Linked DNA regions of Tamandua tetradactyla. The protein of the gene in region 3 interacts with the protein of the main gene of each other region in a pairwise test. Links are inferred from orthologs where the notes say so. Each region holds a gene or a part of one and is shown on either strand. Other genes may lie near its edges.

Region 1 (7,059 bases), on a different chromosome or scaffold from region 3:
AAAAGGCATAGCCTCCTGTGAGCCTCACCCTATGAAAAAACTACCCAGGGACCTGGCACCATGATGATTTACTCAAATTGCTCAACACCTTGGGAGTTTCTTTGTTTTGAAAAGTGTAGATTTTAGAAAGGCTGGAGCTTTAATTCTGGTTGTTTCTTTTTCTCTTATGCCTTCATTTGGTTTCTTTTCTTATAAAAATTATTCAGATCCATAGTGCTGGTGTTTCCAGACACTGAATAGGTCTAAAAACAATTTCTTGTAAATAAAACCAATTTTCAAAGCAGAAGAAAAAGAAGTGAGATTCATCCACCAAGCATGAGATCAGTTTTTCAAATTCATTACCTTTTCACTCATTCAAGTTCGTTGTACCAAAGACCACAGAGACCACACCTCAAACTAGCTCATGCTAGAGAAATTTAGATTAACAAAAGGGGGAAAAAAAAGAAAAAAGAAGAAAGGGGAACAGGAAAGGAAGAAACCAAGAAACACAATATGCTTTTGCCTTAGCCTTGGCCCTGAAACCCAGGACAAAAGCACATGGTTGTATGGCTAAGGGTTGAGAGCACAGGTGGGTGTGGAAATTTTAGATCAGTTCTGTTGCTGGTCTGCTTAAATTTAAGGTAGGATGAGTCCCTGGGAATGATGAAAAAAAGAGCTTGTTCCCTTGGCCATGACATCCACAGCTCACAGTACCATCAGTTTTTCCTGCTTTGAAGGTCTAGATCTACACTGAGCAATACAGTAGCTACTAGCTGCATGTGAGTAGCTAGATTTAAATCAGTTCAAATTAAATTAAATGAAAAATTCAGTTCTTTTGTTGCCATAGCCACACTTCGAGTGTTCGACAGCCACACGTGCTAGTGGCTCCTTATAGAACATTTCCATCTTTATGGACGTTCTATGGTGCAGTGATACTCTAGACTCCTGGGATGATCCCAGAGTCCACCTGAAATCAAGGACTACCATATAAGCAATGGCTCAGGCACTTCAGCTGAGTGCGGACCTCAGGAGTGAGCCTTGCCAGCCTCAGGGCAGGAACGGTATGGAGAATACTTGGAGGAGGTGAGATTACAGTACCCCCTCATGAATGTGGTCTCTGCCCCAGCTAGGGAATGGAGGCCCATCAGGACTGAGGGCAGCCTGTGGAGCCATCGGGTCTGGAATCCAGCAGCAGGATACGGTGCATTCTGGGGCTGATTGCTGTTTGCTTTGGTTAAGAATGCACTCAGGAGAGGTTAAAAAAGAAATTCTAAGATATTACTTATTTTTCTTGACTAGATGCTATCTATGGTTCCCTTTGAATTTAAGAGTCTATGATTCTTCCCAGGTACTTTTTAAAAATAAGTAGGTGAGCTGATTTTTAACCTGTGATAGCAGAAAGCAAAAAAAAAAATAGTCTGTTGTAGCAGAAAACAAGAATTTTTTTTCCTCGTTGAAAAGGTTTATCAAAAGGAAAACATCTCTTCACAAGGCTTATATAATCTAAGATATATATATATATATACTAAGTGAATTTTTTCTTGTTTTGCTTAGCCATTCAACTCAGGCAAAAAATGGACAATAAAAATTATCTTTAATTTCACAAGGACATTTATAAAAGACCTAAAATTCAAGATGCTTAAAAATATTTAAAACTAGTTAGAAGTGGGGTTTTAGGTATATATAACAATATATGAGGGCAAAAATAGATTTTTAACTTGCTGACCCTCACAGATCAACAAATTGGTGAAGAATAAAAATAAATTATATAAAAGTAGCATTGTGTTGATAAAGCTAATTTATTTTTTTATCTGAACACTATTTTATTGAGATAAATTTCACATAACATTCACCATTTTCACCATTTTAAAACGCACAGTTCAGCGGATTTTGTTGTGCAACTCTCACCATTATCTAATTACAGAACATTTTCCTCACTCCCAAAAGAAACTCCACACCGATTGTTGAAAAAGTGATCAGACATCGAGCAGAGATATGAATGAGGCTGATCTGGGTAGGACTAAGGTATATCAGAAGACTGGGTAAGGAATGGTATCGCCCATATCTTAAAACTTCAACTTCTGTGTGAGACTAAAGGGAGAGATGTTTATTTGGTGCAAGATTTATATTTTGGGTAGTGAATTTCCTAATTTAATTTGTATGGTCAGTTTAGCTGAACACCATAAGTACATGGACTCTTTAATAGGGCGTGAGATTGTGTTGGTTTGCCCAGGTAGGTATGATGCCACAACAAATCCCAGAGTGATTTAGACAACGAATAAAGAAGTGAATCTAATTTATTGACTGATGTGAACAGACACAATTATTAAGCCAAACTGTTTGCAGAGAAAAATCATGAATAAATTGTCTCACAAATCTCATTACTAGTTGGCAGGAACAAATGATTTCTGACAAAACCAGGAAACGTTCTTTCTGCTAAGCTAAGAAACAGTGTATTAAGAAAGAACGTGACCTGTTTCCTTAAGTTTTCTTTTCCGTTTCTGACTCCAAAAGGAAATTGGAGGTCTACATAGGTTTATATGAGATTTAATTGGGAGATACAGGGTTTCCCAGGGTTCTAGGATTTTTCTTGGCCTTTCTGTGAGGAAATTTGAAGTTGAAATCAGGACAGACATCAATTGCAATCAGAACAACATCCTCAGAAAAACCTTAACCCCAGTGCTGAGAATAGGACGATATCAAAGATTTCAGGAAAGCAGTTTAAATAGTTCAAAGTAAAAGAGAACGTAACAATCACAACATCCTAGATTACAAAAAAATAGAACGCTCTGTTCATCAGGGGTGTAACTTCTTCCCCTTTCCCTTTCTGACCACCGCCTTCCCTCCCAGGGAAGCAACCCAACCATTCAGAGTGCAGTGGGTTTCTCTGCAGAGTGAAATCAGTCTACTCACAGAGCCCTCTCCTGGTCTCCTTGCTGTGCTGGTCACTCTGAAATCTGCACTGGCCTGAGGTGCTTTTCTACCCTGCAGCAATTCTTCAAACTTCTGGGAGTAGGAAAGATGGGCTGTGATTGGGAGGATCTCACATGGGTTGAACCTGGTGCTGCCTGAGCCTGCCTCACTCATGTCAGAACTGGCAGGACTCTTCCAGTCAGTGGATTTCTGCTTCTTTGGTATGTGGTGATGCTGACAGATAGGAGCACTGGGACGAGGCTCAGCTCGGTACTTATCTGGATGCCTCCTAAGTGTGGACTTTACTTGAACACGAACTCAGATTTTCATTTTTATTATTTTTCTTTTTTCTTTTGATTTGATTTGCTTTTATAAGTGTTACTTGATCCTTACTTCTGCTTTCATGTATTGCAAGGTCTGTCTATTGCCTTGGCTGCTCATAGTGATGTGGGTACATGTTTACCTGTACAGGGTCACATCCAGCTTCAGTTTCTGTAATATATCGGGTTATATTCATGGGAATAGTAATTGCCCAAGTTGTGCCACTGTAGATGGTTCAAACACTAATAAGGGGAGGGTCAAGAAACCTGGATACAAACAGACTGGAAGGAATTTGAACATAGAGAGAGGGCTCGGATAATTATCTCATATTGAATTTGTCTCTTCCAATCTCTCCCCTTCCCTTCCTTCCTCCTTTGCTTTTTTTCTTTTTTAATTTAAAATTTTTTTTAAACATAACATACAAACACAAACATTCTTACCATATGATCATTCCATTCTTGGTATATAATCAATAACTCACAATATCATCACATAGTTGTATATTCATCACCATGATCATTTTTAAGAACATTTGCATCAATTCAGAAAAAGAAATAAAAAGAAAAAAGAAAAAAACTCATACATACCATCCCCTTACCCTTCCCTCTCATTGATTCCTAGTATTTCCATCTACTCAATATATTTTAGCCTTTGTTTCCTCTATTTTTTTCTATACCCCTTATCATTCCTTTTCATCAATCACTAGCATTTCAATCTACTAAATTTATTTAAACATTTGTTGCCCCTATTATTTATTTTTAATCCATATGTTTTATTCATCTGTCCATACTGTAGATAAAAGGAGCATCAGAACAAGTTTTCACAATCACACACACAGTCACATTGTGAAAGCTATATCATTATACAATCATCTTCAAGAAACATGGCTACTGGAACAGAGCTCTACAGTTTCAGGCACTTCCCTCCAACCTCTCCAATATACCTTAACTAAAAAGACGATATCTATATATAATGCTTAAGAATGACCTCCAGGATAACCTCTCGACACTATTTGAAATCTCTCAGCCATTGTCTCATTTCTCTCTTCCCCCTTTTGGTCTAGAAGGTTTTCTCATTTCCTTGACCCTGAGTCCCAGCTCATTCTAGGATTTCTGTCCTACGCTGCCAGGAAGGTTTACACCCCTGGGAGTCATGTCCCATACAGAGAAGGGGAGGGCAGTGAGTTTGCTTGTTGTGCTGGCTGAGAGAGAGTAATAAAAGGTATTCTCTGGGGTGGCTCTTAGGCCTAATTTTAAGTAGGCTTAGACTATCCTTTGCGGGGATAAGTTTCCTATGAACAAACTCCAAGATTGAGGCTCGGCCTATTGATTTTGTTGTCCTCACTGCTTGTGAGAATATCAGGAATTCTCCACATGGGGAAGTTGAATTTTCCCTCTTTCTTGCCATTCCCCCAAGGGGACTTTGTAAATACTTTTTAATTCACTGTTCAAATCACTCTAGGATTTATCGGGGCATCACTCTGGATAAACTTAGAAAATCTCATGCCCTACTCAAGGTTCCATGTACTTACGGTGTTCAATTAAGCTGCCCACATAAGTTATATTGGGAAATGCACTAGTCAAAATATAAATTTTGTACCAAATAAACATTTTTTGCTTTAGTCTCACTCATAAGTTAAAGTTTTAAAATATGATTAGTATGTATTTTCAGCACCCTGCAGTATTGACATTCATTTTTCTTTCTCATGCAAAAGCATTTTTTAATTTGTACATTTAGTCACTTCTCATTGCACATTCTATGCATTCCTAGATTATACCATCTCAGTTTTTATCGTCTATCTTTCCTTCTGATTTCATTTGTGCCCCTAGCCCTTCTCCCTCTATCATTCTCACATTCAGTGTACTAACATTATTGTATTACAGTTAGGTAGTATTGTGCTATCCATTTCTGAATTTTTACAATCAGTCCTGTTGCACAATCTGTATCCCTTCAGCTCCAAATACCCAATATCTACTCTATTTCTATCTCCTGATAGTTTCTGTTCTTAGCTGAAATTCTACAAGTTCATTCACTAATGTCAGTTCATATTAGTGAGACCATACAGTATTTGTCCTTTTGTTTCTGGCTAATCTCACTCAGCATAATGTCCTCAAGGTCCATCCATGCTGTTACTTCACAACTTTATTCTGTCTTACAACTGCCTAATATTCCATGGTATGTATATACCACAGCTTGTTTAGCCACTTGTCTGTTGATGGACATTTGGCTGTTTCCAACTCTTGGCAATTGTAAATAATGCTGCTGTAAACATTGGTGTGCAAATGTCCATTTGTTTCCTTGCCTTCATGTCCTCTGAGTAGATGCCTAGCAATGGTATTGCCAGGTCATATGGCAATTCTATACTTAGCTTCCTGAGGAACCGCCAAACTGCCTTCCACAGTGGTTGTCCCATTTTACATTCCCACCAACAGTGGATAAGTGTGCCTCTTTCTCTACATTCTCTCCAGCACCTGTTGGAGTTTTTCTGTCCTCCTTTGCTTTTTTCCTTTCTTTCTATCCTTTCCTTTCTCTGGAGCCACCATATGTCATATACAGCACCAACATTACTTTAATGGCTGAATAGAATATCATGACATCTATGCTTCACAGTTGATTTAATATGGTATAGGGAAGAAGTAAGGGCAGTAATGTTAGAATTTACTGAGGGTTTAATCAATAGACTGGGGAGTTCCTCAAGGATTAGCACTATTCCTGTTACAGGTTAGTTTCTTCAGGATGCAGATTGTGAGATATGAGTTTAGTGTGCAGTATATTTATTAGGCAGTGCCCTTTGTATTAAAACCCTTAGAAGGGAGAGGGAAGAAAGAGGATTGGGCACAGATAGAATCTGAACTGTAATGCAGGCAAAACATCCTTAGCTAGCCTTTTCCCTGGAGCTCTGGACCCAAGACGGCCATAGTAACTGTTCTTTATTGTGCTTTTCCTTAAACAGTCCCAGGATCAGGGTCATCCTTGCAAGGTGTCTTTTGGTAGTTCAAGCAATCTTTAAAGGGGGCTGACAGCCGGAGGTTGGAGACTACCAGTACTAGCTACTGAGCAACGAGTCTTGAAGAGGGGTCTAATTGGGGTATATTTGTGTCCACCATAATGCTTTTTTCCTCTTCAGATCTTCAGGGTCTAGTTAAATAAATGATAATACTTCAGTAGAAATCTGTGCAACTGTTTAAAATGATGCCATAGAAAAATATTTAATGAAACAGAAATAGGTTCACTTATTTATTCAACAAATCTTTATCGAGAACTTGATATGTCAGGCATCTAGTAGGTGCTAAGAGTGAAAAATCAGGTTACAAAAGTTTGTACAAATTGATGCATTTTTATTTTTTAAAGGGATATACATATGTACATGAATTAAAAAGTTAGGAAGAATGCACAGTAAACGTTAACAGGGTTATATCTGGATGGTGGGATATGGGTGACTTCTTTTTCTTTTTTTGTAGTTCATTTGTTTACAAAGGATCTATATTACAAATATAAAAAGGGAAATATGTTACTTAAAACAGGTATTATTCAGCAGATGAATATGTGGTATAAAGAAAATGTGGTATTTACATACAATGGAATATTAATCAGTCATAAAAAGGAATGACATCTGATATATGCTACAACATGGATGAACCGTGAAAACATTATGCTGAGTGAAGAAAGCTGGACACGAAAGAACAAATAGGGCATGATCCCACTTATATGAAAAATCTAGAAAAAAAAATTCATTGAGACAGGAAGTGGGTTACAAAATAACTGGCAGAGAAGGAGAGAATGGGGAGTTATTGCTTAATGGGTAGAGTTTCTGTTTGGGGTGATGAAACAGTTTTGGTAATGGGT
Region 2 (7,526 bases), on a different chromosome or scaffold from region 3:
AATTCTGAGCCCAAAACAAATTCTTAGTTAATGATAGGAATCATAGAGTCATAAAGATTGTTAAGCATTTGCCCAAAGACAAATTCTAGGTATGTGACAGCAAGCCACAAATTCTGCTAGCTATCTCCTCCTAAAACAAAGAAGACACGTAGTGCTCAAAGGTTACTATGGAAATCTGCTACCAACAAAACTTTCCTATAAAACAAGCTGGCCCATTCCATTCACCGCTTGTCCCTCTCTTGGGCACATCCGAGTTAAACTCCCTTAACTCTCTCTTTTTAAATAACTTTTTAAAATAAACTGTAGTACTTATTCCTATTGGCCCTCTTGTTTCTAAATTCTTTTAGTTTCGAGATTAAGAACTTGGACTGGGGTTCAGCTGGCATCACTGCCTGTCTTCCAAGCCTCATCCTTCCCTCCAGCCACAAGCTGTACTCATTCACTCTTCCGTGCCTTTGCTCCAGCTCTCCCCTGTGCCTGAAATTCACTTCTCTTTCATTTCCTCCTAGCAAACTTCTACACATCCCTCAAGACCCAACTCAGTTGAAGCTTTCTCTGTTCATCCCAAAGCAAGTTGGAGTTTCTCTCCTCTACTCCTGCCATCCTACCCTCATCCCAGGTCTCCCCCTAGGAGAGCATAATGATTCATTTGCATCCTGTCTCTACCTGAGAATCTCCAAAGGAGCCCAGACAGAGCTGGCCTACAATAAAGACCCATTTAACATCTTCTGAGTCAGCAAGTAGTGATTGCATGTCATGGCTGACCAATGAGCATGACTAACTTTTTATCCTTAACTGTCAGAAGTAAGAATTATAATCCCATTTAATAGATGGGGTAACTGAGGCTTAGAAGGTTTAAGGAAGTTGGTGGGGGGTGGAGAGAGAGAGGGAAAGGGAGAAAGAGAGTGGGAGAGAGAGAGAGGGAGAGAGGGAGAAGGAGAGAGGGAGAGGCAGAGCTGGTGCTGTCTGAATTCAAATAGCTCCTGTTCTTTCAGTGTGTTTGACTCGATTTGATTCATCTCTATTAGTTTCATTTCAATTCAATGAGGTTCATTTTAACTCAATTCAGTTCAGTAAATGTTTACTGCACACCTGCTGGAAGTGGGCCCCTCCCCCAAGGGATGGCCATTCTGAAAGGAGAGGCGGATGGTAAAGAGTTTCTCCAAGGGAGGGGGCCCCACAGTGCAGGTGACCCTCCCTCTGGGCCAGTCTTTGGAACCAGAACCGCTTTCCTGAAGACCTGACACTTGAGCGCAGGTGGGTGGGGAAGCAAGAGGCCGGCCTGTCCACCATGCAAAGTCCTGGAGGGATCCGGGAGGGTCAGCACTGGGAGTCCTGGCTGCCTGGAGTGGAGGCTGCTGGAACAGAGGCAGCAGGTGACCAGGCCAGGTCGCAGAGGCCCCCAGGTCTGCCAGAAGCCAGGCCCTGGGAGGTGGCCAGCCCTCCCAGGGTTTCATAGGTTCCTAGTCAACCCCTCCCCACCCACAAGTACCCCTCGCCGATGGAGGGGGGCAGCTTTCCTTTCCCTTGATGTAACAGAAGGTCCTCAGCTGTTTGATGCCTCCACCCACCCACCCCCACTCCAACCCTGGAGGCTTTGCCAAATAGGGTGGACAGGGTCAGATATCTCCAGGCTGGGATGCAGCGAGGTTGACCATTGGCCCTTTGCCAGCTCTGCAATTTGATGAGTTGCTGGGAAATCTCCATCTTCTAAGCATTGCAAACCACCTGACAAACATTTAGGGTGAAAATCTTTTTATATACAAACAAATATTTTCATTGCTAAGTTATTTATAATAAGAAGAAATTAACAACCTAGGTGGGTAGTCAAAAAAATTCTGACACATCCATAATTATGTAAGCATCAGTTTAAAAATATTTATTGACAGGGTGTGCCAGTTTGATTCTGTCATGTACCCTGTGAAAAGCCATGCTTTAATTCTGACCCAATCCTGGGGGAAGAGCTCTTTCTTTTCACCCTGATTCAATATTGTGGGGTGGAAACTTTGATCTTCATGGAGATGTGACACACCCAATTGTGGATGTGACCTTTGATTAAATGGAGATGTGACTCCACCCATTCTAGGTGGGTCTTGATTGGTTTACTGGAATCCTTTAAAAGAAGAAACATTTTGGAGTTGCTTCAGAAGTGACATAGATGGAGATGCTTGTAGACAGAGTGAGAAATAGCCCAGGTGCTCAGCAAGGAATCACAGAAATAGCCAGAACCTGAAGAGAAGAAATCTCTGGCCCTGGCCAATGCTAAGCCAAGAGATGAAACCCAGAGCTTTGTCCCGGAATAGCTAAGTGAAGGGCCACAGATGCTCAGAGAGGTAATCACCGGCCTCGGAAGCTGGAAGCAGCAGAACCAGGAACAAGGCCCCGCAGATGTCAGCCACGTGCCTTTCCAGAGCTTCCTCTGGATGCCTTAGGTAGGGCGTATTTATGGCCTTAGAACTGTAAACTTGTGTTGTGACTTATCAAATTCCCTTTATAAAAGCCATTCCATTTCTGGTATATCACATTCCAGCAGCTTAACAAACTAAGACACAGGGGAACTGGTCCCAGTAATATATTGTCAAATGAAAAATGTAAGATACAAGACTGTATAAATCATGTCATTTATTTAAAAAATGAAAGTGATGTTTCTTGCATTTAACTTAACTTCAAATCTATTTGGGCAAAGACAGATTGGAAACGGACATTTAACCAACATGTGCGATCCTGTCAGCCAGCACACTCAACGAGCCTGTCAAGAGAGCCCCGAGCCTGCCCCTTCCTGGGCAATCCCAGCTTGCGGGTGCCTCCTTCTTCGTGAGCAGGATGCGAGAGGTTAAAGCGGTGCAAGTCCAGAAAATACATCTCCTAAACACAAGTCAAGTATGACTTCTGGGGCTTAATCAAAGAAAAAATAATCTCTTCCAGAAAACACTAGTTATGTTGTACTTCTTGAAAGAAAGCCTTGTATGATGTTTTATTGGTGATTTAACAGTTTATTATAAATTCTTTGGACAATTCTCAATTTTAGCCTTAGGTCACGGAACCTAATCCTTGCATAAACAAAATTCCAGTTTTATATGCATGTGAAAGGCTAGAATGGAACACAGGAAAATGTTTATAGTCTACAAAACTTTGTGTAATGGTGTTCTTTTTGCCAAAGCTGCCAGAAAGCAATATACCAGAAATGGAACGGCTTTTATAAAAGGGATTTATTAAGTTACAAGCTTACAGTTCTAAGGCCCTAAAAGAGAAAGATACCTTAACTCCAAAGAAAGGCCGATTGATGTCGGTCACAAGGGAAGGCTCATGACTGGCATCTGCTGGTCCTTGTTCCCTGTGCATTGTCTTTACCTTCTGAATCCAGTGGCTTTCTCTTTAGGTGTCTGTGGGTCCTGACTTAGCTGCTCTGGGGGAAAACTCTGGGTTTCATCTCTCAGCTTAGTGTCTCATGGAAAGGCACATAGCGACGTCTGCTGGGCTCTGGCTCCTGTCTAGCTTCTGTTGGTTCTCTCAGCTCCTGGCATCTCCTGCGCCTTCTGTTATTTCCAGAAGTCTGAAAGTTTTCTCCTAAATGTTTCCCTGTGTGGGCTCTTTTCAGGACTCCAATAAACTAATCAAGACCCACCTTGAATGGGTGGTCACATCTCTATCTAATCAAAAGGTTCCACCCACAATTGGGTGTGTCCAATCTAAACAATAGGTTTGGCCCCACAAAATCCAGATTAGAAAAAGAAGGTGGCTTTTCTGGGTTACAAAACAGTTTCAAACTAGCCAGATGGGATTAGAAGGGTAATGGTCTTTTTAAACCAAAAGACTCCTGAAATAAATAGACATGCTGGGAATCACCTGACAGGTGCCTGCGGGGACTGGGAAGCTCTATTCTTGTCAAAAGGCCCATCAAAGCATGCAGCTGCCTTATAGGGCAGGTGAAGTCTCCCTCAGCCTGCAGGGTGGACTGGAAGCCCTCTGGGCGCTGACCTCTACCCTCCTCCCTGTCTCAGAGTCCCTGCGCCCCTGAACAACCCTGGGCTCCACACCCCCACTCCTGGGGTGCTACCTTCCTCACTCCCTCACAGGCTTCCTCCTCCCCTACTCTCTAGGACCCACTGCGACCCAGGCACCCTTCTCCACAGCTCCCCCTGGCCCACCCACGCAATGCTCACATCTTCTGTGAAAACACCGTTAAGCATATTCCTCTGTCTGTCCGCTCCCCCAGACCAAACAAGCTGCAGAAAACAGGGCTCTGCCTCAGGCACTGACCTCAGTGTGGCAGACTGAATGATGATGCACCCCGATTTAGACGTGATCTTAATCTGCATTCCGTGGGCGCGAGCCCATTGCAAACAGGACCTCTTGAAGCGGGGATTTTAGCCAGGGGCGGTCCAATGGAAAAAGGGTGGGTCTTAATCCGGATTACAAGCAGAAGAAATTGAGACATCAAAAGGGCACCACGGGGAGAAGCCGGAAGCCGGAAGCCGGAAGTGGATGGAACCGGAAGAGGAAGGAGAGGACGCGGCTCTGTTCTGGAAGCCGATGTGGGGGCCGAGGAGCCCTGAGGAGCGCGTGGGGCCGAGGAGCGGAGAGGAGGAGTCGTTGCCACCTCGGCATCTCAATTTGGGACTTCTCTGAGTCTCAAAACTGTGAGCCCACAAATCTCTGTTTAAGCCAATCCATTGGCATTCCTCAGAGCAGCCGGGAAACTAAGACTCTCAGTAAGTGCGGATGGTTGGGGTGAATAAATAATGGGCTTCGGAGCCACCCAAGACTTGAGTTTAGATCCCAGGTCAGCATGGACTAGATAAGGGGCTTAGTCTCAGTGAGCCTCAGTTTCCCCGTCTGAAAAATGCGACAATGACCCTTGCCACTTAGGGTTGGTGGGTGGTCTGGATGAGCACGCCAACTGCCTAGAGCAGAGCTGACCAGGTGTCAGTCCCCATTGCATACAAGAGGCTTCCGAATGGTATGTTAGGCCCTGTTCTGCCTGCAAGAGGGCCACAAAACACAGACGCAGTTCAGCCTCGATTCAGCTACTGGCCTGGAATTCCAGCTCTGCTAATAACCTCCACGTGCCTCTATTTCTTCTCAGTAAAGTGGGTTTGAGAATGATCCCCCTCTTGGGGGTGGGGGGGGGGTGAGAAGATGAGAAGAGCTAATGTTTGTAAAGCACATAGAACAGTGTCTAGCTCGAAGGAAATGCTAAATGTTGTTAAAATGAATAAAAGTCTAGCAAGAAGACATTCACAGATGGTCTGCCTGCTGAAGTGGCCCTCGGTTCTTTTCTCTGACTTTGGTCCACCTTGGTTTAGAATCCACCCCCACTCCCCCACTCCGGCCATCTCATGCTGCGGGTGGGGGTGGGGGTGGGGGTTTGCTTCTCAGCTTTATAGGTGGGTTGAGACCTTTGCATCCGGCTGGAATCCAAGTACCACTTTTACTGTCTCAGGCCCCCTTGTTGTCTGTGAAGCCACCATGTACAAGGGATGCGGCAGAGGCAAGGGGGACAGATCTTCTGGGAACTTGCAGCAGGTACAAGACTCCAGCCTCTGCACAGCAGACACTGTGCCAAATTCACACCAGTCATTCCCCAGGAGTTTGGATGTTGGGCAGCCTCAATGTTGAACATCCAATATGGTCTGCTTGCCCAGCTCCATGCAGCCGAAACAGTCTGAGCCTTCAAAGCTCTGTAGAACCCACACTTTCTCTGCGCAAAAGTCTTTCCACATCATTGCCACTCCCCTTTCATCCCCCTGGTCACCGTGAGAAAACAAAGGGACATGGGCCCCAAACCCACACTCACTGCTTAGCGTAAAGAAAAGGGTCAAAGGGACATGGGCCCCAAACCCACTTTCACCACTTCCTGCTGTGTGACCTCACCACATTATTCACCCTCTCTGAATACCTTCCTTCTTTCATGAAATGGGAATAAGAATACTTCCAACAGAGGAATATGGAAGGAATTCAGTGCAATCAAGAAGGACATAGAGTTAGTCCCTTCTCTGGCATTGGTTCCTGTTTGAGTTTCTAGGCTCCTTTGACAAATACCACACAACAGGTTGCCAGGAACAATATGAATTCATTGACTCATGGTTTCAGAGGCCAGAAGTCCAAGCGCAAGGTGTCAGCAAGGCCACACTTTCTCCCCAAAGTCTGTAGCATTCTAGTACGGGTTTGCAGCATCCCAATACGGGTTTGCAGCATCCTTGGGGCTTTCTTGGGGCTTGCATCTCTGCCTCCTGCCACATGGTGACCACTCTTTCTTCTGTGTCTGTTCTTCTGGCTTCCACTGATGTTCAGCTTCTCCCTGAGCGGGCTTCTCAGATTCTTGGCTTCCAGTTTCTTCTCTCTATAAGGTTTCCAGGAATGTTCATTAAGACCCACCCTGATTCAGGTGGACCTGAAGAGGACCTTTGAAGATCCTAGTCGCAAATGTGTTCACACACCGAATCAACACAGTCGAAGATACTATTTAGAAATGTGTTCACACCCATGGAAACATGGATTAAGATAAAATGTCTTTCATCAGCGTTCATAATTCAACCTGGCACAGTTTGCCTTTCTCAGTTCTCTTATTCACTACCTCCATACTGGCTGTCACCTCCACCACTTAGTAGTATTGCTAACTCGCATGAGCTGGGCAACTCCACTTACAAGCAAGTTCCCTAAATTAGGATTCGGCCTGCATCACCACTGAGTCCCTGCAGCACCTGGCTCATGGGGGCTGCCCATTGAATACCTGCTGATTACACAGTTGCCACCCATAAACGTGCCCACTTGTCAACACAAACTCCTTCCTATGCATGGTTTCCAAATTCTTTGACAAGGAGCAGCGAATGTTTATCTTTAGACTTGTTTTATGACATTTCCCAAGCGTCTAGTAGACACCAAGTCCTGCGGCAGGAACTGTGGGAAACACTGGGATGAGAGAGGAAGAAACTGCAGGGTTCTTGTGGATCTAGTCCTGACCACAATCCCACAGTGGTGGCTTGGCAGGTGTTAAATAAACACGATACAATTCCGATGGGGATGGGATGTCAAAACAAGTTCCAACCAAGCAATCAAATATTAGTTACTGATGAGAGTGTGGGCCCAGGGACAAAAACAGCCTGGGGTTCGAATCCCAGTGGCACCATTTATGTGCTGTCATGGATTGAATGGTGACCTCAGAAAGTTATACCCATGTCCTAATGCCTGGAGCCTGTGAGTGCTCCCTTACTGGGAGAAAGGGTCTTTATGATGTGATTGAGTTAAGGATTTTGAGGTGAGATCATCCTGGATTACCCAGCTGGGCCCTAAATCTCTTCTAAGTGGCTTTATGAGAGAAAGGTAGGGGGAGATTTGATAGAAACAGACCAGAAGACAGCAGGAGGTTATATGAGGATGGAGTACTGTGGCCATAAGCGAAGGAATGCTAAGATTTGTCAGGAAGACACTGAAAGCTGAAAAGAGGCAATGAAGGGTTCTCCCCTAGAGCTTCCTAGGGGTGCACAGCCCTGCCAACACCTTTGTATCAGCCTATTTTTCATCTT
Region 3 (7,376 bases):
GAAATACTCCACAGTTGTGAAAAGAGTGACCCCGTGCTGCATGATAGATCTCAGAAAGATAATAATGAGCAAAAGAAAACATGATCAACAGTGATTATCTTTGGGGAGTAATGATTAGAAAGAGGTGTTAGGGATACCTCTCTTTCTTAATATAGACAATGATTACACTAGTATATTTATTAAAATGTTATTGGCCTGTATATTAAGATTTGGCATTTAACTATATGTATGTTACAACTTTACCAAAAAAAAGGTTTTTTTAATTACCCAGACCTCAAAAAAGGAAAAAAAAAAACTGTAGAATAAACCAATCAATGAATGACAGAACACTGGTTAATAAAACTAAGAGATACACCACTGACCAGGCTGTCCTATGAAGACGCTTGGCATGCATTCTGACTGAACTCTCCTAAAGCCCCATGAGGTGGGTAACAATTGTCTCCATTTTGGAGAAGAGGAAGCTGAGCTTCAGGAAGTGAAGCCACTTTCCAAGGTCACAGAACAAAGGCACCAGGTTTTTTAAATCCATACCTCACCTCTTGAAGCACTTCACCACTCCACCTGCCAAACCAGTTCCTTCCCAGGCTTTATAACAGGCCACCACCTAATAGCCAAAATAATAACTACCAATTAACAGGGACCTTGTATAAGCCTGGAATTATCCCCTTGAATCCTCCAGGTAACCTAAGAGATCATTATTATCTCTATTTTTGGGATGAAAACTGAGGCTCTGAGAAGGGAAGTCATTTTCCCAATGTCACAGGAAGAGAAGAAGCCAGAGTATAAACCCAAGAGTATCTGACTCCAGGATCCATAGCCTTAGCCATTACTCTACACTCTTCAGTAGTTACCCTTGACTACTGAATTCATCCACCCATCCATCCATCCATCCATCCACTCATCCACCCAGTCATACATTCAGCAAATATGCTTTGACTGCCACACTGGGCCTGACATGTCCTAGTCCCAAAACAAAGTCTGCATAGAGCTCACATTCTAGAGAAAATTACCAATAATAACCTAAACATAGCTCAACTTCCCTGGCCATTAGAGAAATGCAAATCAAAACCACAATGAGATATCATCTCACACCCACCAGAATGGCCATTATCAACAAAACAGAAAATGACAAGTGCTGGAGAGGATGTGGAGAAAGAGGCACACTTATTCACTGCTGGTGGGAATGTCAAATGGTACAACCGCTGTGGATGGCAGTTCGGCGGTTCCTCAAAATGCTGAGTATAGAATTGCCATATGACCTGGGCAATACCCGGCAATACTCAAGGGACATAAGGGCAAAGACACAAACGGGCATTTGCACACCAATGTTTATAGCAGCATTATTTAAAATTGCAAAAAGATGGAAACAGCCAAAATGTCCATCAACAGACGAGTGGCTAAACAAACTGTGGTATATACATACGGTGGAATATTATGCAGTTTTAAGACAGAATAAAGTTATGAAATATGTAACAACATGGATGGACCTTGAGTACATTATGCTGAGTGAGACTAGCCAAAAACAAAAGGACAAATACTGTATGGTCTCACTGATGTGAACTGACATTAGTGAATAAACTTGGAATATTTCGTTGGTAACAGAGACCATCAGGAGATAGAAATAGGGTAAGATATTGGGTAACTGGAGCTGAAGGGATACAGACTGTGCAACAGTACTGAATACAAAAACTCAGAAATGGACAGCACTATACTACCTAAGTGTAATACAATTATGTTAAAACACTGAATGAAGCTGCATGTGAGAATGATAGAGGGAGGAGGGCTGGGGGCATAAATGAAATCAGAAAGAAAGATGTTAAAGATTGAGATGGTATAATCTAGGAATGCCTAGAGTGTATAATGATAGTGACTAAATGTACAGATTTTTAAAATGTTTTTGCATGAGGAAGAACAAAGGAATGTCATTATTGCAGGGTGCTGAAAATAGATGGTAATTAATATTTTAAAATGTCACCTTAGGTGTGAGACTAAAGCAAACAATGTTTACTTGGCACAAAATTTATATTTTGACTAGTGCATTTCCTAAGATAACTTATGTAGGTAGTTTGATTGAACACCATAAGTACTTGGAATCTCAGGTAGGACATGAGATTTTGTTGGTTTGCCCAGAGTGATGCCCTGATGAATCCCAGAGTGATTCGATCAGTGAGTGGAAAAGTATTTGCAAAGTCCCCTTCAGGGAATGGTGAGAACAGAGAGAAATTCAACTTTCCCAAGTTGAATTCTTGATATTCTCAGAAGCAATGTGGACAACCAAGCTATAGGCTGAGCCCCCAGTCTTGGGGGTTGTTCATATGAAACTTAACCCCACAAAGGATAGGTCAAGTCTACTTAAAATTTAGGCCCAAGAAAAGAACTAGCAAAACAACAGAAAAAGATATAGAATGTTAATATAGAGGAAAAAAATAAAAATAATAATAATAGTAAAAAGAAAAAAAAAGAAAAGGAAAAACAAACAAACAAACAGACAGACAGACAAAAAAAAAAGATTTAGGCCCAAGAGTTATCCCCAGGAGAACCTCTTTTGTTGCTCAGATGTGGCCTCTCTCTCCAGCCAACACAACAAGCAAACTCACCACCCTCCCCCTGCCTACGTGACATGGGACATGATTCCCAGGGGTGTGGACCTTCCTGGCAATGTGGGACAGAAATCCTAGAATGAGCTGAGACTCAGCATCAAGGGATTAAGGAAAACCCTAGAATGAGCTGAAATTCAGCATCAAGGGATTGAGAAAACCTTCTCGACCAAAAGGGGGAAGAGTGAAATGAAGACAAAGTGTCAATGGCTGAGAGATTCCAAATGGAGCCGAGAGGTTATCCTGGAGGTTATTCTTAAGCATTGAGTAGATATCACCTTCTTATTCAAGATGTAATGGAGAGGCTGGAGGGAACTGCCTGAAAATGTAGAGCTGTGTTCCAGTAGCCATGTTTCTTTTTTTTTTTTTCAATGTAATTTTATTGAGATAGCTCTGCACACCACACAATCCATCCAAAATAAACAGTGGTTCACAATACATCACATATTTCTGTATTCATCACAATGATCATTTTTAGAACATTTACATTACTCCAGAGAAAGAAATAAAAAGAAAAAAGAAAAATCCCATACATCCCATACCCCTTACCTCTCCCTCTTACTGACCACTGGCATTGCACTCTACTCACTTTTAAGACTTACAATAGAGATAGATTAACTAACGCAGTGCAGTTTTGACATGTGTATATATATATACAAAATCAGTGAAACAAAGCAAAACATCAAGAAGTAGGTCCATACAAACACAGCAACTGACCCTTATTTTTGCAATATAGTTAAACAATCATTACCAACGACCAGAGTAATGGATTACAGTTCAACAACTTCTGGCTAGTCTAAAATACTAGACCCTATGAAGAAATATCTATATAATAAGTCAGTATATTTTGTTTGCCTTTCATGAGAGAGATTCAAGCATGCTTAGAAGCCCAGTGTGAAGAATCCAGTTGGGAATGAACAGCTAACTATGAAAGAGAGAAGATGAGGAGTTGGAAGAGGGAGGGTCCTGAGCAGGCAGAAGGAGATGGAGTCTTAGCCATGTTTCTTGAGGATGGTTGTATAATGATACAGCTTTCACAGTGTGACTGCGTGATTGTGAAAACCTTGTGTCTGATGCTCCTTTTATCTACCACGTCAACAAACGAGTAGAACATATGGAATAAAAATAAATAATAGGGGGAACAAATGTTAAAATAAAAATAATAATAATAACCTAAACATAGACTGTCACCTGGTGAAACCATTGAAGACCACGTAAACAGAAAAGGTGGTTAGAGGGACAGGGGTTCTATGTAGACAGCCTAGCAGGGAAGGATTCTGAGCACGTCACAGCTGAATGAATGATGCCCAATGAACGAGAGGGTAGATAAGATTCTGTTTTTGTGTCTGGACTATCAGGGAGGCAGAGAAGAAGGGACACCTTTTGTCCCACACCCCCCTTCTTGAGTATCCATTGTTTGTAATTCTCCTCCTCTATGTAGAAAAACTAGGACTACTTTTCCCCTCCTCCCAAGCCGAACGAACCAAATGCTTTGAGGAGCACCCTTCGGGGTCCTCCTGACACAGCGTTCCCGGAGTCACAAAAGGAATCCGGCGTGAGAGCGAGAGCCGTGAGGAGGGAGAGGGCGGGACATTGTGACGGGAATGGGCCACCTGGCAAGGAACAGAGCGTAGGAAGGGCACGGTGTGGGCTGGACGAGCGGTCCCTCAGTCCTCCTCTGCCTTGCTCAGCGTCATTTAGCAGAAGCTTAAGGCACCAGCAGACAAGGCCTCGCAAAGCTCCCGCAACTGCCCCTCCTTCGCCGCAACTGCCCCTCCTTCGCCGCAACAGTTAAAACGCATCCACTGCCCCAGCTTCGCCAACGCGCACGCGCAGTTGCCACCAGCGTGGGCGCGAGCCCGGGCAGACCCACGCATGCGCGACACTGCCGTTACAGGTAACCAACAAGAATAGCTCGCGCCCTCTCAGCGATGTGCGCTTGCGTCAAGGAGGGAGCACGGCGGGGAGGGGTGGGGCTTAGTTGCTGCGCATGCTCTCGCACGCGCAGTCCCTCACCGCGCGCAACTGCCGTCGTTTGTTAGTGGCCTTCGTCGGTGTCTCGAGATTTGGTCGCAGCTCTGGGTGTGCCCTGCGTGAGCGAGACTCCCCACAGAATCCGTGTCAGAGCCGCTCCAGGAAACCTGACAAAGACCCCCAAACTGTAGGCGAGACGCCCCAAATCAGGGCTTCTAAATCCTGTAAGAGTCCTCTTTGAAAGCCTGGCAGAATCTTGTAGAAAGCCTGTCAGGCTTCTCTGTCAGACCTTCCCAACAAATCCTTTCAGGGAGTCCCCGAAATCCTGTCAGGGAGCGCCTGAGATCCTATCATACCCCCGAAATATGCTAGTCAGACATTCCTCCCCAAATCCAATCAGAGACACCCTCATGCCCGAGCTCCTCAGGGGTCTCGTACGTCAAAGCCCGGTCCTGCTCTCCTCATCTGAGCCGAGCCTCGGTGACGCTTCCTGAGTTAGTCCCTGAAACCTAGGCAGGACACAGGCCCCACGTTAAGCGTCGCTCTCTGCACCCCCGAGGGTTGTCCAAACCCCGGAAGCGTCTCCCTTCAGACGCCCCTTTTTCTAGGACCTTCTGAGTCCGCGCGCCCGCTGGGAGCTGGAGAGAGCAGGGTGAGGGGGGACATGGTGAGGAAGGAAGAGGGCGGGGTGGGGGGGGTACCGCTTTGTGGGGACACTGAGGACCCCACCGACTCGGGCGCAGACCCCCTACCCCCGCCGCGGTCAGCCCGGATGGCGCCTGCCCCCCAGTGAATTAGTGCAGCACCCAGTCGCTTTGGGAAATGTCCCGGGGTCAGCCCCTGCCGTCCTGTGGTGGAGCTGGCTGTGACCAGAATTGCACGGGGGATGGCCAAAGCTCAGAGGAGGGGCCCTGGGAAGGCTACCCAGGGCTAGGCAGGAGTGACGCTAGTGCCTGGGGGTGGTCCATGCCTGGGGGAACGTGGTTCTCCGGGAGAAGAGCAGGTTTGAGAGTACGTGCTGAGCTGCCCCGGGGCATGGTGAGGGCAGGGGACCTGGGAGTCTGCCGATGCGGAGAAAAATGTCAAAAAGAGGGAAGGCATTTTGGGGACCACCCTGCATGGGGCTGGGGCACTAGGGAGCCATGGAAGAACTGGGAGCAGGGGGAGCCCGAAGTCCAGTGACAGGGTGCCCTGGTGGCCCAAGGCAATGCGGGACCCAGAGACAGCTCCTGGCTCAGCCCCAGGGTGGGGAGCAGAGCATTTACCCAAGGGAACGTCTTAAGTGGAGACAGGAAGGGCTGCCAGGGGTCAGGGACTGTGACACTGTGTCTGAGAAGGAGATGGGTGGGGCCAGGCCACCCAGGACCTTAAGTGCCAGGCCCAGGGTCCAGGTTCTGTCCCCAGGATGCTGGGGAGCCACAGAAAGGCATTGAGCAGGGGAGGGCAGATTCACTCTGGGGCCTGGTGGAGGATGGACGAGGTAATACCAGGAGGCTAGAGGCTGGGATACAGTCCAGGGGGAGAGGACGAGGCCTGAGCTGAGCCCGGGGCCTTAGGGAAGGAGAGCGAGACTGGTAGTCAGTAGATAGGAGGGACGGGGCTTCAGGGAGGAGGGAAGACTGCCCAACTCGACCCTCCCCTCCCCCTCCCCCCCACTAGTCACCCTTGATCTCTGCCGCCCCCCCTCAGGCCCCCATTTTCCCAGCCCACACCTCCAGTCCATAAAACAGGCCCTGGCAAGCTGCCCCAGTCCTAGCGGGGGCGGGCAAACAGGTTAGAGCGCCAGGAGGGCCCCAACTGCGGATGACCGACTGAGCAGGCTGTCCTGCCCGTTGTCCTTCCAGGAATGATCAGGTCCCTCCTGGTGATGGAGAGAGGCTGTTAGTGTTGCCAGCTGCTGCCAAGCAGTGGGGGTGGCCCATGGAGCTGCCGGAGGGCCAGGCAGGAGGCCGCACTGCAGAAAGTAGGTGACTGGGCCCCTGTGTGCCCTGGGGGGGGGGGGTGAGCAACAGGAGCAAAGGGGTTCCAGGCTGGGACTTGGGGACCCGGAGAGGGGCAGGGGGCAGGAGCTGACACTTCCCCTTCCTCAGGGGAAGCCAGGAAGCCTCTGCTCACGTTGTTCCCCCTTCCCCACTTCCTGGCAGGCCCATGCTGTGCTTCCTTAGGGTCTCTGCCCAGATGCCATCTCTTTCCTGTATGTGAGACTGCTGTCCTGTTATACTCTGTCCCCTTTCCTTCTATCCTTTTCATCACGACACTGACGTGCTTACTCCCCCTTCATCTGTTTCCTTCAGTCTGGTGTTCTCACTCCCCAGGGTAGGGCTGCCCAAGAGAAGCATCACGCGAGCCACATATGTGACTGTAAATTTTAAAGTTTTTTAGCAACCAAATTAAAAAAAGAAAGAAAGAAGAACAATCAAGATGAATGGTAATAATAGATTTTATTTAATCTGGTATATCCAAAAACAGTATCCTTCCAGCATCCAGGCAAAAACGAAAATGTACTGATGAGCTGTGTCCTCTTTTCCTGGCTAAGTCTTTATGATCAGCGTATATTTTACACTATCAGCATCGTGTGTTGCACTTGTTGTCGTCCAGGTGCTGGGTTGCCCTCTCTGAGACTCACCTGCCAAGTGGAGGGGAGCGATGGGGCTGTCCCCAACAGTTGTCCTGACAATGAGGTGTGGCTGCGAAGCAGAGCTGGGATGAGCTTTCCACAGGCAGTACGGATTTCGACAGAAAATTATTCCTGAGAGCACAATATTCTGATTCCCTTTTCTCAAGTGGGAAAGCTGAGACTCAGGA
Region 4 (7,752 bases), on a different chromosome or scaffold from region 3:
AATAAAAGTAATAATAATAAGAACAAAACAAACAAAACAAAACAAAACAAAAACCTATAGCTCGGATGCAGCTTCGTTCAGTATTTTAACATGATTACTTTACAATTAGGTATTATTGTGCTGTCCATTTTTGAGTTTTTGTATCTAGTCCTATTGCACCATCTGTATTCCATCAGCTCCAATTACCCATTATCTTACCCTGTTTCTAACTCCTGCTGAACTCTGTTACCAATGACATATTCCAAGTTTATTCTCGAGTGTCGATTCACATCATTGGGACCATACAGTATTTGTCTTTTAGCTTTTGGCTAGACTCACTCAGCATAATGTTTTCTAGGTCCATCCATGTTATTACATGCTTCATAAGTTTATCCTGTCTTAACGCTGCATAATATTCCATCGTGTGTATATACCAAAGTTTGTTTAGCCACTCGTCTGTTGATGGACATTTTGGCTGTTTCCATCTCTTTGCAATTGTTTATAGCGCTGCTATAAACATTGGTGTGCAAATGTCTGTTTGAGTTTTTGCCCTTAATTCCTTTGAGTAGATTCCCAGCAATGGTATTGCTGGGTCGTATGGCAATTCTATATTCAGCTTTTTGAGGAACCGCCAAACTGCTTTCCACAGTGGTTGCACCATTTGACATTCCCACCAACAGTGGATAAGTGTGCCTCTTTCACCGCATCCTCTCCAGCACTTGTCATTTTCTGTTTTGTTGATAATGGCCATTCTGGTGGGTGTTAGATGATATCTCATTGTGGTTTTGATTTGCATTTCTCTAATGGCCAGGGACATTGAGCATCTCTTCATGTGTCTTTTGGCCATTTGTATTTCCTCCTCTGAGAGGTGTCTATTCAAGTCTTTTTCCCATTTTGTAATTGGGTTGGCTATCTTTTTGTTGTTGAGTTGAACAATCTCATTATAAATTCTGGATACTAGACCTTTATCTGATATGTCGTTTCCAAATATTGATTCCCATTGTGTAGGCTGTCTTTCTACTTTATTGATGAAGTTCTTTGATGCACAAAAGTGTTTAATTTTGAGGAGTTCCCATTTATTTATTTCCTTCTTCAGTGCTCTTGCTTTAGGTGTAAGGTCCATAAAACCGCCTCCAATTGTAAGATTCATAAGATATCTCCCTACATTTTCCTCTAACTGTTCTATGGTCTTAGACCTAATGTTTAGATCTTTGATCCATTTTGAGTTAACTTTTGTGTAGGGTGTGAGATATGGGTCTTCTTTCATTCTTTTGCATATGGATATCCAGTTCTCTAGGCACCATTTATTGAAGAGACTGTTCTGTCCCAGGTGAGTTGGCTTGACTCCCTTATCAAAGATCAAATGTCCATAGGTGAGAGGGTCTATATCTGAGCACTCTATTCAATTCCATTGGTCGATATATCTATCTTTATGCCAATACCATGCTGTTTTGACCACTGTGGCTTCATAATATGCCTTAAAGTCTGGCAGCGCAAGACCTCCAGCTTCGTTTTTTTTCCTCAAGATGTTTTTAGCAATTCGGGGCACCCTGCCCTTCCAGATAAATTTGCTTATTGGTTTTTCTATTTCTGAAAAATAAGTTGTTGGAATTTTGATTGGTATTGCATTGAATCTGTAAATCAATTTAGGTAGGATTGACATCTTAACTATATTTAGTCTTCCAATCCATGAACACGGTATGCCCTTCCATCTGTTTAGGTCTTCTGTGATTTCTTTTAGCAGTTTTTTGTAGTTTTCTTTGTATAGGTCTTTTGTCTCTTTAGTTAAATTTATTCCTAGGTATTTTATTCTTTTAGTTGCAATTGTAAATGGGATTCGTTTCTTGATTTCCCCCTCAGCTTGTTCATTGCTAGTGTATAGAAATGCTACAGATTTTTGAATGTTGATCTTGTAACCTGCTACTTTGCTGCACTCATTTATTAGCTCTAGTAGTTTTGTTGTGGATTTTTCCGGGTTTTCGACGTATAGTATCATATCGTCTGCAAACAGTGATAGTTTTACTTCTTCCTTTCCAATTTTGATGCCTTGTATTTCTTTTTCTTGTCTAATTGCTCTGGCTAGAACCTCCAACACAATGTTGAATAATAGTGGTGATAGTGGACATCCTTGTCTTGTTCCTGATCTTAGGGGGAACGTTTTCAATTTTTCCCCATTAAGGATAATATTAGCTGTGGGTTTTTCATATATTCCCTCTATCATTTTAAGGAAGTTCCCTTGTATTCCTATCCTTTGAAGTGTTTTCAACAGGAAAGGATGTTGAATCTTTTCAAATGCCTTCTCTGCATCAATTGAGATGATCATGTGATTTTTCTGCTTTAATTTGTTGATATGGTGTATTACATTAATTGATTTTCTTATGTTGAACCATCCTTGCATACCTGGGATGAATCCTACTTGGTCATGATGAATAATTCTTTTAATGTGTTGTTGGATACGATTTGCTAGAATTTTATTGAGGATTTTTGCATCTATATTCATTAGAGAGATCGGCCTGTAGTTTTCTTTTCTTGTAATATCTTTGCCTGGTTTTGGTATGAGGGTTCAGAAACGGAATTTTTAAATTCCGTTTTAAAAAGGGGAATTTAATAGGTCGCTAGTTTACAGTTCTAAGATGGAGAAAATGTCCCAATTAAAGCAAGTCTATAGAAATGTCCAATCAAAGGTATCCAGGGAAACATACGTTGGTTCAAGAAGGCCGATGAAGTTCACAATTCCTTTCTCAAGTGGAAGGGCACATGGCGAACATGGTGTCATCTGTTATCTTCTTCTCCTGGCTTCCTGTTTCATGAAGCTCCCCGGGAGGTATTTTCCTTCTTCATCTCCAAAGGTCGCTGGCTGGTGGACTCTCTGCTTCGTGGTGCTGCAGCATTCTCTGCTCTCTCTGAATCTTTCATTCTCCAAAATGTTTCCTCTTTATAGGACTCCAGTAAACCAATCAAGACCCACCCAAATGGGTAGAGACATGTCGTCACCTAATCCAGTCTAACAACCATTCTTGACTAAATTACATGATCCAGGGAGATGATCTGATTACAGTTTCAAACATACAGTATTGAATAGGGATTATTCTACCTTTATGAAATGGGATTTTAATTAAAACATGGCTTTTCTAGGGGGCATACATCCTTTCAAACCAGCCCAGCCATTAAAAAAAAGAAGAAGAAGAAATGGGATAGAAGTTAAAAGTGCAGCAAGATGGAGCGAAGAAGTTTTCTTCCATTTAGGGCGAGGGCTAACCCCGTAAAAAAAAAAAAGCAAAAAACCCTAAAAGACTGTGAGAGAGAGGGGAGACCTGGACTTCCATTTTTCCTTATCTGCTTTACCCACTTCACAGGGATGTTGTGAGACCTAAAGAACAAGATATAGGCACAAAAAATAATGGAAAAAATTGAAAATTTCTATCCAATTTTGGACAGCTTCCAACTACTGCATGAACAAAAACTAAGCATGGTGTTTAAAATTCTTTATCAGGCCCCTGTGTTCCACAGAAGACCCATGTTCTTTATCTCTGTCTTTGTTCCAGCTGTTCACTCAGCTTCAAATGCTTTCTCTTTCATCTCAGCACGGCCAATTCAATAAACACTTAGAGTTGTTAGTGTGTCTAAAACTATTCACTCTCCAGGGTCCTATTCAAATGCTATTTAGTCCATGAACCCTTCTTGCTCATCCCTCAGAGTGCCCCCCTCCCCTGGAGAAATAGTACTTTGTATCAATTGTAGCACTTATCACATTATCACCTGATAATATGATTGAGGGCATGATTTAGCCCTCCCAAAAGAGTATGAGATATGATGACACAGGCTGTGTCCTGGAATTCTTACCTCCAGTGTATGTGCCTTTTACATAGTAGATGCTCAATAAGTGTTAGAATAAATGGAAAAATTAATTTTAGGGAAAGAAATTGAATGACGGTAAGCAGTCTCTGGGACACAAAACTGGGTGGGATCCAGGATACAGGAAAATGGAAGCACCAACTTATCAAAGGAAGAGGAACATCTCCTCCCTAGAGAAGGACTGCAGATAAGCCTGGGAGAATGGACATGGGACAGATCCTTGTGTCCAAATCTTTCAAGTTCCAACCCTACTGCTACCTCTTTCATGAAGCCTTTCCTGAAATTCCCATTGGACGCGATTTCAGTTTGGCTCAACCTGTTTTCATCTCTGGATTTTCTACCTTCTAAAATGGTTATTTTTATAGTTATTTTATGTACTTTCCTAGACCGCGATCTCTTTGATGGCAGGAAGAAGACAGTTTCCTCCACTGCACACACGGCATGGTAAACACTCATTCGAAGTGGGTTTATTGAATGGATAAATGGGGCGAGTGAACTGGGCCAGTGAACAGACAAATCTAAGACAGGAGAAGCTTGCGCCACAGATTTCAGTGATGAATGAACTCTCCAGACCCACAATTAGCAAAATGTTTAACACAAAGCCAAGTAGAGACTCTCTTTTTCTCCTCCTGCAGTTAAAAGGTATCCCTCCCCTCACATCCAGCCTAGCCCTAAGGACCTCACGCCAGCACCCTGCGGCTATCTTTGACAATGACTGATTCAACCCTGAAGTCAACCTGCCGCCCAAACCTACATCACCTCATCCTCTATGAGAGTTCGAACTTATGGTCACATTTATCCTTTTTCTTCCGACCTCTTTTCTCATTCCCCTCCTCGGGCTTCTCTCTTACAGCCAATTAGGCGCGCGGGCGGGCACCCCTAGCAGGCAGGCGCGAGAGGGCCCTGCGACCGGAAGCCGGAAGCCGGAGGCCGGAAGTTGGGGGGTCTGTGAGGACGTGTTCTGGGAAAGCCGGAGCCCGGGCGGCCCGAGTCGGCGCCATGGAGCCGCTGTATCAGCAAACGCACAAGTGAGGACCGCAGCGGGGCACGGGCTGGGGCAAAACCAGGCGGGGCGAGACCAGCCGCCGGGGCTGGGGTATGGGGACGTCCGCTGGTGTGGACGCCGAATTCCTCCGTGCGGGGGCTCTGCCGGCGTCGGCTTAATCTCTGGCGAGATGCCCATGTCAGCGGCGGACAGAGGGTCGCGTCTGGGGCCTGCAAAAGTTAGGCCGGGTCGTTCGTGTCTACGAGCCCGTGACTACCTGCTCTTTTGCACACTGAATGGAGGGAAAATCGTACCTACAGATTATAATACTGTGTCCAGCACTTGCCAACTCGGTTATTTTTAAGGAAATTGAACTTTGGTTTAGCTTCTCATAACTTAAATTCCTTGGAAGTGGTGTTTATTCATATTGACCTGCGGTTTTGGATCTTGCTGAGATACGTAGTTGAGTATGGTGATAGGGGCCATATCTATCCTACTCTTTAAACTTTCCATTTTATCCCGTAGTTCTTTTCTGGTGAGCACACTTAAAATCACATTCCCGCAGCACGGAAATGAAATCATGTAGGCACCAGCGTCCCTAATGAATTTACAGCAAAAGAAGAGCTTTAGAGCTCTTCTTATTAGGAAATAAGAGGATGATGTCCCTCTTATGCTTTCATCTTTTTTTTTTTTTTTCCTTTTTACTTGAGCGATAAAGTGTTTGGTTTGGGGGAGTGAAAATACAGAACTTACTTTGTAATGGTATGAAAATAACCAAATTTGCTCTTACAGTGGGGAAACCAATTCTCATAGAAAAATTATAGAAAGGGTCTTGAAAAACTAGAGGTATGAGTCAACTGATGAAGAAACGAAACAGAAAATTACTCTCATGTTACTAAGGAAGGGCAGGTTTTTTACAATAACAAAGCACAGTGGGCTGAGTAGTGCCTTCTGTGATGTAGAATCTCATCTGATTAAATGATGTTGCTAAGAAGCTATTATTTACTCTTTTCAAGAATCATTTTGTTCAGAAAGTCTTAGACTGTACCGTTACCAGCTGCAGTAGGTAGCTGATCACAGGGAAATGTGGGTAGCTGGATTTTATGTAAACTTAGAGAGAGGAAGGAATACTAACTGGTGTCCCAAACAAACTTGGAGAATATAGATAGACTCCTTATCTCTGCAGACCTCCAACAACCACTCTTGGACTCTATGGCAGCATTCACCAGCTTTTTCTGTGAAGGGCCAGATAGTAAATATTTTGGGCTTTATGGGCCATACAGTTTCTGTTCCAGCTACTCACCTCTACTGTTTTTTTTTTTATTATTATTAATTAAAGAAAAAAAGAAATTAACACAACATTTAGAAATCATTCCATTCTATATATGCAATCAGTAATTCTTAACATCATCACATAGATGCATGATCATCATTTCTTAGTACATTTGCATCGATTTAGGAAAAGAACTAGCAAAACAACAGAAAAAGATATAGAATGTTAATATAGAGAAAAAAATAAAAATAATAATAAAAAAAGAAAAGGAAAAAATGAAAAAAAACAAAAGATACAAACAAACAAAAAAAACTATAGCTCAGATGCAGCTTCATTCAGTGTTTTAACATAATTACATTACAATTAGGTATTATTGTGCTGTCCATTTTTGAGTTTTTGTATCTAGTCCTGTTGCACAGTCTGTATCCCTTCAGTTCCAATTACCCATTATCTTACCCTGTTTCTAACTCCTGCTGGTCTCTGTTACCAATGACATATTCCAAGTTTATTCTCGAATGTCGGTTCACATCAATGGGACCATACAATATTTGTCCTTTAGTTTTTAGCTAGACTCACTCAGCATAATGTTCTCTAGGTCCATCCATGTTATTACATGCTTCATAAGTTTATTCTGTCTTAAAACTGCATAATATTCCATCGTATGTATATACCGCAGTTTGTTTAGCCACTCGTCTGTTGACTCACCTCTACTCTTGTAGAGCAAAGGCAGCCACAGGCAAAACATAAACGAATGGTTATGACTGTCATAACCATTTATGTCAATAAAACTTTATTCACAAAAATAGACGGTGGGCCAGTTTTGGCCCTCTAATCTTAAATCATTCATTCAAATAGTATCTCTTGAGCACCTGCTATGGAACAGGCACCATTCTCGGTGCTGACAATACAGCCCTGCCTGCAAGGAATTTACCTTCTTTCATCCAACAATACTTTCTCATCTGCCTTTCTCTACATATAACAGAGCCAGGAATGGGAAACTTGGCTTTGTTTTTCTTGCTGTATAAAATGTTCATTTGGGAATGCTAAGGCTCCTTTTAGAATACTGTGATTAAGAGTCTTTAAAAGGAGTGTTTTCCTTATATGAAAAATGTTAATTTGGGGCTGGTAAGGTTCCTTTTAGCTCTGATTCTGTGATTGGGAGCCTTTAAAAGGAAACACACAGAGTTCTATGAACACCAGCACTGAAGTTTTACAGTTACAGAAATTAATGACAGTAGTTGAATTGAATACATATCTGTAAATTTTGGTAAGCCTAAGTTGATGTTTTTTTTTAAACTGAACAAAGCACAGGGCCAAAGGCAGTCCTGTTGTCGGACAGTAGAAATCTTTCCAAGTCTTCCTTGCATGCTGTTGTTTGAGTCTGCCATGAATCCCTCAATCTGTAATATCATCAAGCCATTATTCAACATAAGATAGAATGAGAAACTACCAAATGCCTCTTAAACTCTTAAACTGACTGTGGCATCCTCAGTGTATTGCTCCTTTCCCACTGGAGACACACCTTGCCCATGAGCCATTGTGATCGTATATCCCATTTATTTGTTGAATTGAGTACATTAATGGTTGGATGAATATATGAATGAGTCAATAAATGAAGGGCGCTCCTCATTAACAATTTTTTTTTTTACATGGGCAGGCA

Evidence for each region.
Region 1: the proteins of KASH5 (region 3) and UPK1B interact in binary tests that used the Homo sapiens proteins (3 or more experiments, as listed by UniProt). The two-hybrid records come from large-scale screens. The link is inferred for Tamandua tetradactyla from reciprocal best matches to the Homo sapiens genes KASH5 and UPK1B.
Region 2: the proteins of KASH5 (region 3) and NSG1 interact in binary tests that used the Homo sapiens proteins (3 or more experiments, as listed by UniProt). The two-hybrid records come from large-scale screens. The link is inferred for Tamandua tetradactyla from reciprocal best matches to the Homo sapiens genes KASH5 and NSG1.
Region 4: the proteins of KASH5 (region 3) and GOSR2 interact in binary tests that used the Homo sapiens proteins (3 or more experiments, as listed by UniProt). The two-hybrid records come from large-scale screens. The link is inferred for Tamandua tetradactyla from reciprocal best matches to the Homo sapiens genes KASH5 and GOSR2.

The regions. Positions count from the first base shown.
Region 1 is NC_135336.1:26,917,311-26,924,369, forward strand, and holds the start of UPK1B (uroplakin-1b), read right to left. Parts: upstream 3,018-7,059; 5' UTR 2,893-3,017; intron 1-2,892. UniProt on the Homo sapiens protein: Component of the asymmetric unit membrane (AUM); a highly specialized biomembrane elaborated by terminally differentiated urothelial cells.
Region 2 is NC_135345.1:8,695,804-8,703,329, reverse strand, and holds the start of NSG1 (neuronal vesicle trafficking-associated protein 1), read left to right. Parts: upstream 1-4,519; 5' UTR 4,520-4,712; intron 4,713-4,718; exon of another isoform or gene 4,719-5,090; intron 5,091-7,526.
Region 3 is NC_135342.1:11,710,466-11,717,841, reverse strand, and holds the start of KASH5 (protein KASH5), read left to right. Parts: upstream 1-4,365; 5' UTR 4,366-4,494; intron 4,495-4,600; exon of another isoform or gene 4,601-4,795; intron 4,796-5,179; exon of another isoform or gene 5,180-5,223; intron 5,224-6,415; 5' UTR 6,416-6,491; coding exon 6,492-6,534; intron 6,535-6,999; exon of another isoform or gene 7,000-7,258; intron 7,259-7,376. UniProt on the Homo sapiens protein: As a component of the LINC (LInker of Nucleoskeleton and Cytoskeleton) complex, involved in the connection between the nuclear lamina and the cytoskeleton.
Region 4 is NC_135332.1:21,422,929-21,430,680, forward strand, and holds the start of GOSR2 (Golgi SNAP receptor complex member 2), read left to right. Parts: upstream 1-4,751; 5' UTR 4,752-4,833; coding exon 4,834-4,862; intron 4,863-7,752. UniProt on the Homo sapiens protein: Involved in transport of proteins from the cis/medial-Golgi to the trans-Golgi network.